Linked DNA regions of Saccharomyces cerevisiae S288C. The main gene of each other region encodes a partner of the protein of the gene in region 4 in a complex. Each region holds a gene or a part of one and is shown on either strand. Other genes may lie near its edges. The genes, in order: MRP20, MRPL17, MRPL32 and MRPL15.

Region 1 (3,084 bases), on a different chromosome or scaffold from region 4:
TAGCAGTATTCTTTTCCCTCATCGTCTTACCATCGTGCCATACCTTAACCCCGGCACCGTGCGTTGCAGATCCGCCCCTCGCGGACCCGCTCGAGACTCTCCGCGGAACGAGCATGCGGACGGCTCCGCGCCACTGTCTCCGCAGGCATCCGTGCATGGCATCCCGCGGAAGCGACCCTGAAAATAATAAGTAAAGCAACCAATGTTCTTGCTCTTTGCGCGAACAAAAATAAAAAAAGAACAGAAATACAGGCCACCTTCCAGGGCAGGGGAAGGGGATGCCATCATCATTCTTTTCTTCCGTAAGGCATGTTCTACAGCCACTTCATATATTTTTGCGTTTGTTGCTCGGAAAAAGTAATGTTCTTAATTTTCTTTCTTTTTTTTTTTTTCTGTTTAGAGATTATGTAGTTTGCTCCGTATATACAAGTGTGAGGGGTGCAAGATGCTTATCTGGGTATTTGCGTGTGGGTTAACGAAGGGGTGGAATGGGAAACCTTCTAATGTAGATCTTCTATGTACCTGTTCAGGGCAATTAGTTTATCTGCGCGCTGCAGTTCGGCGGCGTGACGCTCTCGCTTATTGTCTATCTCTCGTTTTAAGAAGCGAGGTATAAAAGGCTGGGCCACCCGTTCGTAAGGCCCCACGACTCCGTCGAATGCTGTGCCGGGTTTGTTGGCGTCTGAGCCCAAGCAGTTAAGTCTTTCTTCACGGTACTTTTCCATGTTGTCAGGCGTGGTGCTGTCCCAGAAGGAGTTTTCGTCCGGACGGGGTTCTTCGGGCCAAATGAAGGGTTCTTCCATCTCGATAGTCATTTTCTTGATCTGCGGTTCTCTAAACCGCGTCGTCTGTAGGTTCATACGGTTAAACTTCCCATGAAGCAGCTGCGTCGTAATGTTCATTGCTCTTAAGCCGTAGATATGATAAAGATAGTCTCTGAGATCCAGTTTGTTGAACGATTTTGGGACGATGAATTTTGCTTGATACGGTGTGTGCTTCGCGTTGGGCCTCAAGAGGATGATCCTGGCCTTGGGAAAGTAGACTTTGTTACCTCCAACTTTGAAATGCTCCTTTCCCTGCTCTATGCCCGCCTTTGTCCACTTATAAATCTTCTCGCTTACGTTTATATCTACTTCGCGATCGCTGCCGCTTTTGTCGAGTATTTTGGAGGAACTCTCCACCACTGAGGCTAGTGATCTTATTGGAACCTGCTCTGGCTTGCAACTTCCTACTGCAAGTGTTTTTTGCAAAGGATACAACATATTCTTCGTTCCAACCGTCAATCGTGGCATATTCTGTGTTGGTGTTGCGTACTTTTTATTTTTATTTTATTTTTTTTTCTGTTGGAGCCTGCTAATCAAAGCACATTATTTGTTAGTAGCGTTACGTTCTCCACAAGAAATGTATGTACATTTCAAGTTCTAATACCATCGTTTTCCCTTTTTCATCGAGAAAATTCGTATAACGCGATTACGTATTAAGTGATCTTCTGTGGGTTTCAACGGCTATTTTGAAAAATACAAGGAAAATAAATGCGGTATTCCTATATCCCAGTGAAAATGCCAATAACGTAGACAAGCTCACTTCGTCGATTTATTCTCTAACATTGGGTCGATCAGGTCTGTCCACCTATCTCTTCTCCCAGAATATCATAGCCTTTCTTTTTCCGTTTCTCCTCCTACACCATTCTCCTTTGCGATTAGACAGTGGGAAAGTCCAAGAATAGATTCACATTTCAACCACTGTATAAATAACTCAATTTCTGAGAATGTTTTTTATTAAAGACCTTTCGCTTAATATTACCCTTCATCCGTCCTTTTTCGGTCCTCGAATGAAGCAATATCTAAAGACAAAACTATTGGAAGAGGTTGAAGGTTCGTGTACGGGTAAATTCGGATATATTCTTTGTGTCCTAGACTATGATAATATAGATATTCAACGTGGGAGAATATTGCCCACAGATGGGTCCGCCGAGTTCAACGTGAAATATAGAGCTGTAGTTTTCAAACCATTTAAAGGGGAAGTAGTGGACGGCACAGTCGTTTCATGTTCTCAGCACGGGTTCGAAGTGCAAGTAGGTCCAATGAAAGTATTTGTGACAAAGCATCTGATGCCTCAAGATTTAACCTTTAATGCGGGTTCAAACCCACCATCATACCAAAGTTCCGAGGATGTCATCACCATAAAAAGTAGAATTAGAGTTAAAATTGAAGGTTGTATCAGTCAAGTGAGTTCTATTCACGCAATCGGTAGTATCAAAGAAGATTATTTGGGTGCTATTTAATCACTTGTTACTCCGCAACGCTTTTCTGAACGCCCGCCTTCGCCTTTCATTATCATTCTCATCCCAAAAGAACTGTGCATGTTATTTGCAATACTTCATATACGCTCTGTATTATTAATAGTATCATTAATTACGTCAATTGAAATTCAAAATATCATCTTTGACAGTAACATCTATCCTCTTAGACAACTAGGGCCATTGCAGTGTCTCGAAACCATTAATATCACTGAAAAGATGAAAAGAAAGGCAAATATATATTGATCACTAATTTTCTAAGCTAAAGAATCTATTCCCCCTCTGTTAAATGGAATTGTGTGAAATAAAATATTATAAAATCAGAACTTTGGGGGGGAAACATAAAAAAATGAGAAAAAGAAAACGAACTAACTAATGTTTAAGTAAAAGAACAAAAAGGTAGACCAATGTAGCGCTCTTACTTTATTAAGAGATTTTCTTGATAACGAAATGTCCTCCTTCTCCAATATCGAAACGAGTATCTTTCCATACACCATCATACATACCCTTTTCGAGAGCCTCCTTGACTACTTTTGATTTTGTCAAAAAGTATTTCTCCTTTTCATCCTCAACCTTCACGACACAATTATGCCAAGGTGTGGGAATATGTAAAAAATCTTCAAATTTGGGTTCATCAAGGTCTTCTAACGAACTAACAATAGAACACTGTTCGTTGGAGATTACTTTTATACCAAATTTGGGCCCGCTGTTAGTGTGCGCATGAATAGAAATTCTCAAATGATGAGGGAATATCAATTCCACTAAGTTCGAATACGCGTCATTTC
Region 2 (3,221 bases), on a different chromosome or scaffold from region 4:
ACTACTCAAGACTTTGTCCCGATTCTCATAAATTAGGTTCTTTATATATCATCGATTCAATAGGTAGAGCTTACTTGGATGAAACAAGATCAAATTCAAACAGCAGCAGCAACAAACCCGGTACTTGTGCCCATGCCATAAACACGTTGGGCGAAGTAATTCAAGAACTGCTATCCGATGCTATTGCAAAAAGTAATCAAGACCACAAGGAAAAAATTCGTATGCTTTTAGACATTTGGGACAGGTCCGGCTTGTTTCAAAAGAGTTACTTGAACGCCATCAGGTCAAAATGCTTTGCTATGGACATATCGAATAACACCGCGAACACCGCTTCACAACAACTATCACTGGATCCCAAGCAGAGGTCGAAACAAATCTTGTCAAATCTAAAGAAAAGTCCTCCTTTAAACTTGAACATAAGTCTTCCAACTGATTTGACTTCCACAGATCCAGCCAAACAGCAAGCAGCTCTTTTCCAAGTAATAGCGGCTCTGCAGAAACATTTTAAAACTTTGCCTTCACATACATCCGTGGGTACAGTCGCACCTCCCCAAGCCCATACAATTACCGAATATGGTAGCAGACGTGAACGTGAACGTGAAAGAGAAAGATATAACTCAAGAAGGAATAGATCAAGATCTCCTCCGGCACCATTTTCTCAGCCATCGACAGGCAGGAAGGACCGCTATCCATCTGTGGCCCAGGACCAATACAGCATAGGCGCCCCCAATACGACATTTGGCACAAACAATCACCACTTATACCCCGATGAGCTTAATGTTTCCAATAATCCTCATTATAGACCAAAACCAGTAAGTTACGACTCTACATTGCCACCAGATCATATTAAAGTCTACAGCCGTACTCTTTTCATCGGTGGGGTACCACTAAACATGAAGGAATGGGACCTTGCTAACGTTTTAAAACCTTTTGCTGAAGTACAAAGCGTCATTCTGAATAACTCCAGAAAACACGCTTTTGTGAAAGTTTATTCAAGACATGAGGCCGAAAATGTTTTGCAAAACTTCAATAAAGATGGAGCCCTGCCATTGAGAACTAGGTGGGGAGTTGGTTTTGGTCCAAGAGATTGTTGTGACTATCAACACGGTTACAGTATTATTCCTATGCACAGGCTCACGGACGCTGATAAAAAATGGTCAGTAAGTGCGCAATGGGGTGGCACTTCTGGTCAACCTCTCGTTACCGGTATTGTTTTCGAAGAACCGGATATTATCGTTGGTGAAGGTGTTTCTTCCAAGGCAATATCTCAAAAGATGCCTACTGATTCTGGCAGAAATGGGCCACGTTCTGGTAAACCTAACAAATCTGGTAGCATATCGTCGATATCTCCAGTACCCTACGGCAATGCACCATTGGCATCTCCTCCACCACAGCAATATGTGCAACCTATGATGCAGCAACCGTATGGTTATGCCCCCAACCAACCATTACCTTCTCAGGGACCTGCCGCAGCGGCTCCCCCTGTACCTCAGCAACAATTTGACCCCACTGCTCAATTGAATTCTTTGATGAATATGCTTAACCAACAGCAGCAGCAACAACAACAAAGCTAAGATCTTTACTCCACCCTTTATTTGCTCATAGTACATAAAACTAATCTACCTCTATATATAATTTCTGTTTTTTCCTATGTTCCTTTTTTTTTTTTGTTAAATGGACATCCTTATGTATTCACATAACTACTGTGTTTCAAATGTAGCATTATCCTATTCTTTATTCTCTTTTTTTACCGTATTCCTGGTTTTTTTTCAAGGTTTAGATGAAAATGAAAATGAAAAAAAAAAAAGGAAAGAAAACAGTTAAACAATCAATAAACTTTATATTCTACGTAATCATAAGCGCTTATCCAGTACCATGAAGGTAAATTTAATGTTGAAAAGAGGGCTTGCTACTGCAACTGCAACTGCCAGTTCCGCTCCCCCCAAGATTAAAGTCGGAGTACTACTGTCAAGAATCCCTATAATTAAATCAGAATTAAATGAACTAGAGAAAAAATACTATGAGTACCAATCAGAACTAGAAAAGAGACTAATGTGGACGTTTCCGGCATATTTTTATTTCAAAAAGGGTACTGTAGCAGAACACAAATTTCTATCCCTGCAGAAAGGACCTATCTCCAAAAAAAATGGCATTTGGTTTCCTAGAGGCATACCGGACATTAAACATGGCAGAGAAAGAAGTACTAAGCAAGAAGTTAAACTTTCTGATGACAGTACAGTAGCATTTAGCAACAATCAAAAAGAGCAAAGCAAAGACGATGTTAATAGGCCCGTGATTCCCAACGACAGGATAACGGAAGCAGATAGGTCAAATGATATGAAGAGCCTTGAAAGACAATTGAGCAGGACCTTATATCTTTTGGTTAAGGATAAAAGCGGTACTTGGAAATTCCCTAACTTCGATCTTTCTGATGAATCTAAGCCGTTACACGTACACGCAGAGAACGAATTGAAATTGTTGAGCGGTGATCAGATATACACTTGGTCTGTTTCTGCTACGCCCATAGGTGTTTTGCAGGACGAGAGAAATAGGACTGCTGAGTTTATTGTGAAGTCACACATTTTGGCTGGAAAATTTGATTTGGTGGCGTCGAAAAATGATGCATTCGAGGATTTTGCTTGGCTGACAAAAGGTGAGATCAGTGAATATGTACCAAAAGATTACTTTAACAAAACAGAATTTCTTTTAGCGGATAATTGAAATCACAAAAACAGATGCGTTTTTAACGTTACATATACAAAATATATGCGTGCATATATATTTATATATTAGGTTGTCGTCAATCACATGTAAATATCATTAAATGAAAGAAAAAGAATGTGCATTTTCTACCGCATTCCTTCCATCAGGTAACTTATTTTTTTGAGTTGAATCTACTCGGCCTATCCTTGCCAATCCTATCAGTATTCTTACTCGTCCTTTTATTGTGGTTGTTGCCTCCACCGTTGTTTTTCCTACGTTTTTCAATCATCGTGTTATCGAACATGTCTTTCCAATAAGTTATTAGATTTTTTTCGTTTTTAACAAAATGATTTGATAGTGTGTCATTCTTGCCTGACATGATATACCATGATTTATCAGGATAAAACTTCAAAACGGGATCGGTTTTGTAATTGGCTAAAGATTTAGAGTGGAGTAAATTACCACTATTAAGATCATAGAAATATACCATTTCATCTTCTGTACAAATTCCTAGTATT
Region 3 (2,986 bases), on a different chromosome or scaffold from region 4:
TTCTGATGCGGCTAAGAGACAAACTAAACCTGCAGCAGCTACAACTGCAGAAAAGAAGGAGGACAAAGGATTATTATCCTGCTGTACTGTCATGTAAGAAACAACAGTTCGCGTCTAATATTTAGTTCTTACTAACATTAATTCTATCTCAGCAGATATATCAATGTAGGACGTTGGAAAATTAATAAAGAATTAACTCTTTTTATTTTATTTTTTCCTTTTTATATTAAAAGTATATTTCTGTAAGTCCTTGTACTAATAATATCATTTCCTAATATTTTGAAATATAGTTGTTTTTTGTCAAGCAAAACTCTTGATTTCAAAGACCTCATTTTGTTAAGCCAAAAGCGAAAAATTCTATTTCGACTTTTCTTTCTGTTTCCGCTCCTTGTATTCTACCATTGATGCTGTCTTAAACAATAAATATACAGTTTGAAATTAAGTTTCTATATACAGGCTTAAGTTTATTTAAAAAGGAAACCACTAGATGAAAGATGAGCCTAGTCCTTTTTTAAAGTCCGAACGCGACGTTCCAAATAGTTATCTTTATCTTTCAAATCCTTGGTATATTTGGTATCTCTTCTACCAGGATATAGGACTCTTTGGTCTAGTTCGGAAAGTTCCTCCTCTTGTCTCGGCTTAATTTCTTCTTTAGCGGTATGCGTTTTCCATATATGACTTATTTGTCCAACACAATACATACACAGTGTATTGGCTCTCTTATAATGGCCGCATGATGGGCACTTATTCAAATGGTGAATCATCTTCAATTGCTTCTTACCTGGACCGTAAAGTTTTTGCCTTTTTTTTTGGTGTGATACTTTTTTTTTAGGAACTGCTAGTAGAATACCATTATTAGAGAAAAAATCTTTATCTTCAGTGTCCTTATGATCTTGTTGTAGCTTTTCTCTCAACCAACGGTGGATAGATCCCAGTTGTTTTTGGCCTGGAATCTGCAGTGAAGGATTTCCTAGCGGTACCAACCACCCAATTGCAGTGGTAGGCACAATTTTGTGAAATGCTAATTGTTTACCAAAAATCAAAGAATTCATAGTTTGTTTGCTGATATTCCCTGGTGTTTTTGTCTCCAAGTTAAGGTATTATTTGGGAACATTGTGCCTTATATTAAGATTTGCTTTCTGAATGCTTGCGGAAATAATCGTATGATACGATGAGATTTCCTCGAGAGACCACAAATAGATCAGAATCGCTGAATAGAATATATGTAAACATGTATCAGTAATACTTAACTTTTTTCAGGCAAAGACAAGAAAATACAAGGCCAAGCCCCACGGTTACTACAAGCACTCTATAAATATATTAATGGATCCTCTCAGCTCAGTACAGCCTGCTTCTTATGTTGGTTTTGATACCATCACGAATCAGATCGAACATCGTCTGTTGAAGAAAGGTTTTCAATTTAATATAATGGTTGTTGGCCAATCCGGATTGGGTAAAAGTACTCTAATAAATACGTTATTTGCCTCACATTTGATTGATTCTGCTACTGGTGATGATATTTCTGCCCTGCCTGTTACAAAAACAACTGAAATGAAAATTTCTACTCATACTCTTGTGGAGGACCGCGTTCGCTTGAATATTAATGTTATAGATACACCTGGATTTGGTGACTTTATTGACAATTCTAAAGCTTGGGAGCCTATTGTGAAGTACATTAAGGAACAACATTCTCAATACTTACGTAAAGAATTGACAGCCCAACGTGAAAGGTTTATTACTGATACAAGAGTTCATGCAATTCTTTATTTCCTGCAACCAAATGGAAAGGAGTTGAGCCGCCTTGACGTTGAAGCCTTGAAAAGATTGACAGAAATAGCAAATGTTATACCAGTTATTGGCAAGTCGGATACATTGACTTTAGATGAAAGAACGGAGTTTAGGGAGCTTATTCAAAATGAATTCGAAAAATACAATTTCAAGATTTATCCTTATGATTCGGAAGAACTAACTGACGAGGAATTAGAACTAAACAGAAGTGTTAGATCTATCATTCCGTTTGCAGTGGTTGGTTCTGAGAATGAGATTGAAATAAACGGTGAAACCTTCAGGGGAAGAAAAACTCGTTGGAGCGCTATTAATGTTGAGGATATCAACCAGTGTGATTTTGTATATTTAAGGGAATTTTTGATTCGAACTCATCTCCAAGACTTAATCGAAACAACTTCCTACATTCATTATGAAGGGTTCAGAGCAAGACAATTAATTGCCTTGAAAGAAAATGCGAATAGTCGTTCCTCAGCTCATATGTCTAGCAACGCCATTCAACGTTGAATCTCATAAGAATGGTGGTGATTATATATCTTATGTTATTAAGAATTCTCAAATTATTCTATATGAAAACACCGTAACTTGCTTCTCTCCTTGGTTTTACATAATGACATAATGCGATCGAAAACTAGAGGTACAGGTATTGCTGGATTGGCGAGAGTTTTTACCTTCTTTTCTGGCGTACAGCTATCACCTTCTCGTTTGGTAAAATGAAAGAACATTTTGTTGTCTTAGCCAAATATTTAATCTATGAAGAAAACGGAGTTTACCGGTAATTCTAAATAAAAGTTTGGTTAGGGATTGTGCCTCATAGAGAAGCAATTGGTACTCATCTTATTAAAGTATTACTATAAACATTAGAAAGAGTCCCTGAGCGTTGCTAATGGGAAGCTATTCGCGCTTTTAGTAAATTATTAAAATACGCCAAAAATAAATGTAATCCGGATATACCTCTTCTTTTAACCTTCCCAAACGTGTCCCACACCAAATTGAGCACCCTGCTCGATTATCATATGTCTACTTCACGTCTACACCAGTATGCGATCTGATTCAATGTTGTTTTACTTTAATATATAGGTCTTGTATTTATTACAGATTAATATAAAAAGAAAAGATTTTTCTGGCCGCACACTTTCATCCTCGATTATCATTACACTTCAGTTTTTCCCTACCTCCCTTAACCTAACTTAGGAGGACT
Region 4 (2,780 bases):
CAAGCCTCTAAATCAAAATTGTTCAAGTCCGCAAGATCAGTTTCGAGATTATGTCAAAATTCCATCGAGATTATTCCTATTTTGGAATCGGTGATTGATATGACTACCAAAGCAATGGTCCAAAAAAGTTTTAAACTGGATTTAGGCGAGCACTGTAAAGAAATTATTGAAAGGCTCACAGATTGCTCGCAAAAGTTATCGGAATTGTGTACTTATGGATGCGATTCCACAAAGCTTGGGAAGAAACGATTCTATCAAAAATTAGCAGATATCCTGATGGAAGTAACCAAGCGCACCAGGGAATTGGTTGAATGTGTGAAGATGGCGAACAGGCAGACTCTTTCACAGGACCTCTCGTCATTTTTCAATTATAGATCTGTACAGTAAAGTCATATATATTCTTTAGTTATTATCTTATTTTATTTCGATCACTATTTACAGATAAATTTTTCTTTTATACATTTTTGGCCAGTGAACCATCAACTATATTTTTTGTATCTTCACAGAAATGCTTTATTTTCCTTGTCGGATATTTTTGCCTTTGCAGATGCTACATTTTCATTAGCAATGTTAACCAAGGAATGAAGATCTTCTTTATCCAGCAAACTTCCTTGGATAAATTTAGCTGCTTTTTCAGATCCATTCGTTGACAGAATTGCACCAATAAATGCGTTCAAGACACTAGCAAAAATCGTGGTTTCACCATTTATGTGGCCATCTTTTATTGGGTCTCTCATCTTCCAAAATATGAAAGGGTCTAGATTATGTAATTTAACGAATGTGCATGCTGTGTTTTTGGACGTTAATTCCTTAGCGAATTTTGTTCCCAGATTGCTGAACTGCAAAGAAAGTTGCCCGTTCTCGCAACTCTCGGCCGGCGAACCATTCTTTAACGAATGAATGCACGTCTGTAGTTTCAAAAACTGTGCTCCTAGCAGATTCAGTTTTTCGTTGTATGGCTTTGACCCGTGTGCGAACGACTTATGTGTTAAACACTGCAAAATCAGTTCGTTTGATAAATTTATTCCGTACTTGGGCAATTGTAGTATGGATCTAACTTTGTCTTGACACTCTTTTGCGTTAACTTCAGTAAAGAGTACCCCGCTAGGATTTCTCAAGTACGACTCTGGATCTCGTCTCAAACCATTAATTCTCGGACCCTTATGAAGGTATATGACTGTTCTAACGCTTTGTAAATTGCAGTTCAAAGCAGTAACGGGTCTCCGCAAGGAACGCGATATAAACATCATGCTATTTTCCATGTTTCCGAGCTTGTCTACTCTTTACTTTCCATCTACCGTTATAGTTTTATATCTCGCTCTTGTTCATACTATATGCAAGTTTTCCAACGCTTCCCATAGCATAAGCTTGGATAGCGAAACCTAAGTTGTTTTTTTTTTCAAAAACTCATCAATTAGGGCAAACTTGAATAGTCAGCTAGGTCATATATTTAAAATCAATTAGCCCTATGACTACATTAGGTTTATTGTTAGGTCTTTACGGCTGCATATTTGCTTTCGCCGTTCGGCGGGGTCCTGCGACGATTTCTGCGCGGTCTTGTATGGGTGGAGTTGACAGTTAACCCTCCGGACCCCCTACCCCGGTGTGCCCCCGGTCCATCTATCCATTTTGCGGTAACCCCTTTGCGCGACAGCTGCTTATCAAGGTACCTGGATCGAGCCATAAAAATTGATCTACACAGATGAGATGGGGCATTGGGATATATTATTAGTCGGAGTATCATTATAGTTATTCAGTTTTATGCAGGTTACTGGCCAAACGTTTTTCTTCATTTGGAATAATCGTTTAGGAGCTACTGTTCCGGTATAAAGTAACAAGCACAGTAGCAGAGTAATACGCAGTGACGATAATAGAGACTAGTAAAACAGTCGAGTTGTCGGACCTAAAATGTCAGAAGAAGACGATCATTGGAATTTAGTTAGATTACGTAGATTACGTAAAGGGAGAGAAGGGGAAGAACAGTCATCGAAGTCAGAAATATCTTTGGATAGTTTGCATGAAAGCTCCTTTGCAGGAGAGGACGACGAGGACTTCGATGCAGATGTCCTATCGAACACTAGCAGTGAAGAGTCTGCACAGATGAATCGTATTTACGATTTTAGAACATCTAATGAATTTAGTAATGCTGGAGTTAATATTGATCAAACTGGAGTTCCCACTATTTCAGAGTCATTTGATACTTTGTCCGGCTCAAATGTTGGCGGAACGGTATTGCCAAGTATGGAGGGGTCGAAACTGAAGGATAGTACGATAAGGAATTCTAGCACACTATCGGATCATATCATAGATAAAAGTGAGGGTAAATCTGCTAAATTGAAGATGTGGCATGTTATCATGCTATCTTCATTGCTTTCCATGACCTTTTCATACCTCGCCCTCGAATATTCCCTGACTGGTGATGTGTTGGCAGGTTTTAAATCACAACAGTCATTACGTAATAATGAAAGGAAGCTGTTGTACGGCAATATCGATTTTGTTGATAAAAAATCTTACGATTCATCAAGTGACTCTTTAAGTCAGTGGGCTCCTTCAGGAAAATACTACGTCGACTTCGACAATCATATTGCATACCCATTAAAGGATGATGACCTAATGGGCTGGAGACGATACAAAACAGACTTAGTTATTTTATGGTATACAACAAAAGCTCGAATGAAAGACGGTTGGCACAAGAGAATTAACAAAATAAACGGAGGAAGAATAAAGTTACACCTATTTCTCAAGAATTCTTTTAAATCCGCTCAAGAAAGTTTAAGGGT

Evidence for each region.
Region 1: MRPL15 (region 4) and MRP20 share a complex: the UniProt entries of both Saccharomyces cerevisiae proteins name them as parts of the mitochondrial large ribosomal subunit.
Region 2: MRPL15 (region 4) and MRPL17 share a complex: the UniProt entries of both Saccharomyces cerevisiae proteins name them as parts of the mitochondrial large ribosomal subunit.
Region 3: MRPL15 (region 4) and MRPL32 share a complex: the UniProt entries of both Saccharomyces cerevisiae proteins name them as parts of the mitochondrial large ribosomal subunit.

The regions. Positions count from the first base shown.
Region 1 is NC_001136.10:1,275,854-1,278,937, reverse strand, and holds MRP20 (mitochondrial 54S ribosomal protein uL23m MRP20), read right to left. Parts: upstream 1,293-3,084; coding exon 501-1,292; downstream 1-500. Other genes in the region: DNA-directed RNA polymerase II subunit RPB7, read left to right, coding at 1,769-2,284; DIT1 (Dit1p), read right to left, coding at 2,726-3,084. UniProt on the Saccharomyces cerevisiae protein: Component of the mitochondrial ribosome (mitoribosome), a dedicated translation machinery responsible for the synthesis of mitochondrial genome-encoded proteins, including at least some of the essential transmembrane subunits of the mitochondrial respiratory chain.
Region 2 is NC_001146.8:170,941-174,161, reverse strand, and holds MRPL17 (mitochondrial 54S ribosomal protein mL46 MRPL17), read left to right. Parts: upstream 1-1,875; coding exon 1,876-2,721; downstream 2,722-3,221. Other genes in the region: Nrd1 complex RNA-binding subunit, read left to right, coding at 1-1,574; TEX1 (Tex1p), read right to left, coding at 2,876-3,221. UniProt on the Saccharomyces cerevisiae protein: Component of the mitochondrial ribosome (mitoribosome), a dedicated translation machinery responsible for the synthesis of mitochondrial genome-encoded proteins, including at least some of the essential transmembrane subunits of the mitochondrial respiratory chain.
Region 3 is NC_001135.5:116,686-119,671, reverse strand, and holds MRPL32 (mitochondrial 54S ribosomal protein bL32m MRPL32), read right to left. Parts: upstream 1,053-2,986; coding exon 501-1,052; downstream 1-500. Other genes in the region: YCP4 (flavodoxin-like fold family protein), read left to right, coding at 1-97; septin CDC10, read left to right, coding at 1,324-2,292. UniProt on the Saccharomyces cerevisiae protein: Component of the mitochondrial ribosome (mitoribosome), a dedicated translation machinery responsible for the synthesis of mitochondrial genome-encoded proteins, including at least some of the essential transmembrane subunits of the mitochondrial respiratory chain.
Region 4 is NC_001144.5:757,962-760,741, reverse strand, and holds MRPL15 (mitochondrial 54S ribosomal protein mL57 MRPL15), read right to left. Parts: upstream 1,263-2,780; coding exon 501-1,262; downstream 1-500. Other genes in the region: ATG39 (Atg39p), read left to right, coding at 1,909-2,780. UniProt on the Saccharomyces cerevisiae protein: Component of the mitochondrial ribosome (mitoribosome), a dedicated translation machinery responsible for the synthesis of mitochondrial genome-encoded proteins, including at least some of the essential transmembrane subunits of the mitochondrial respiratory chain.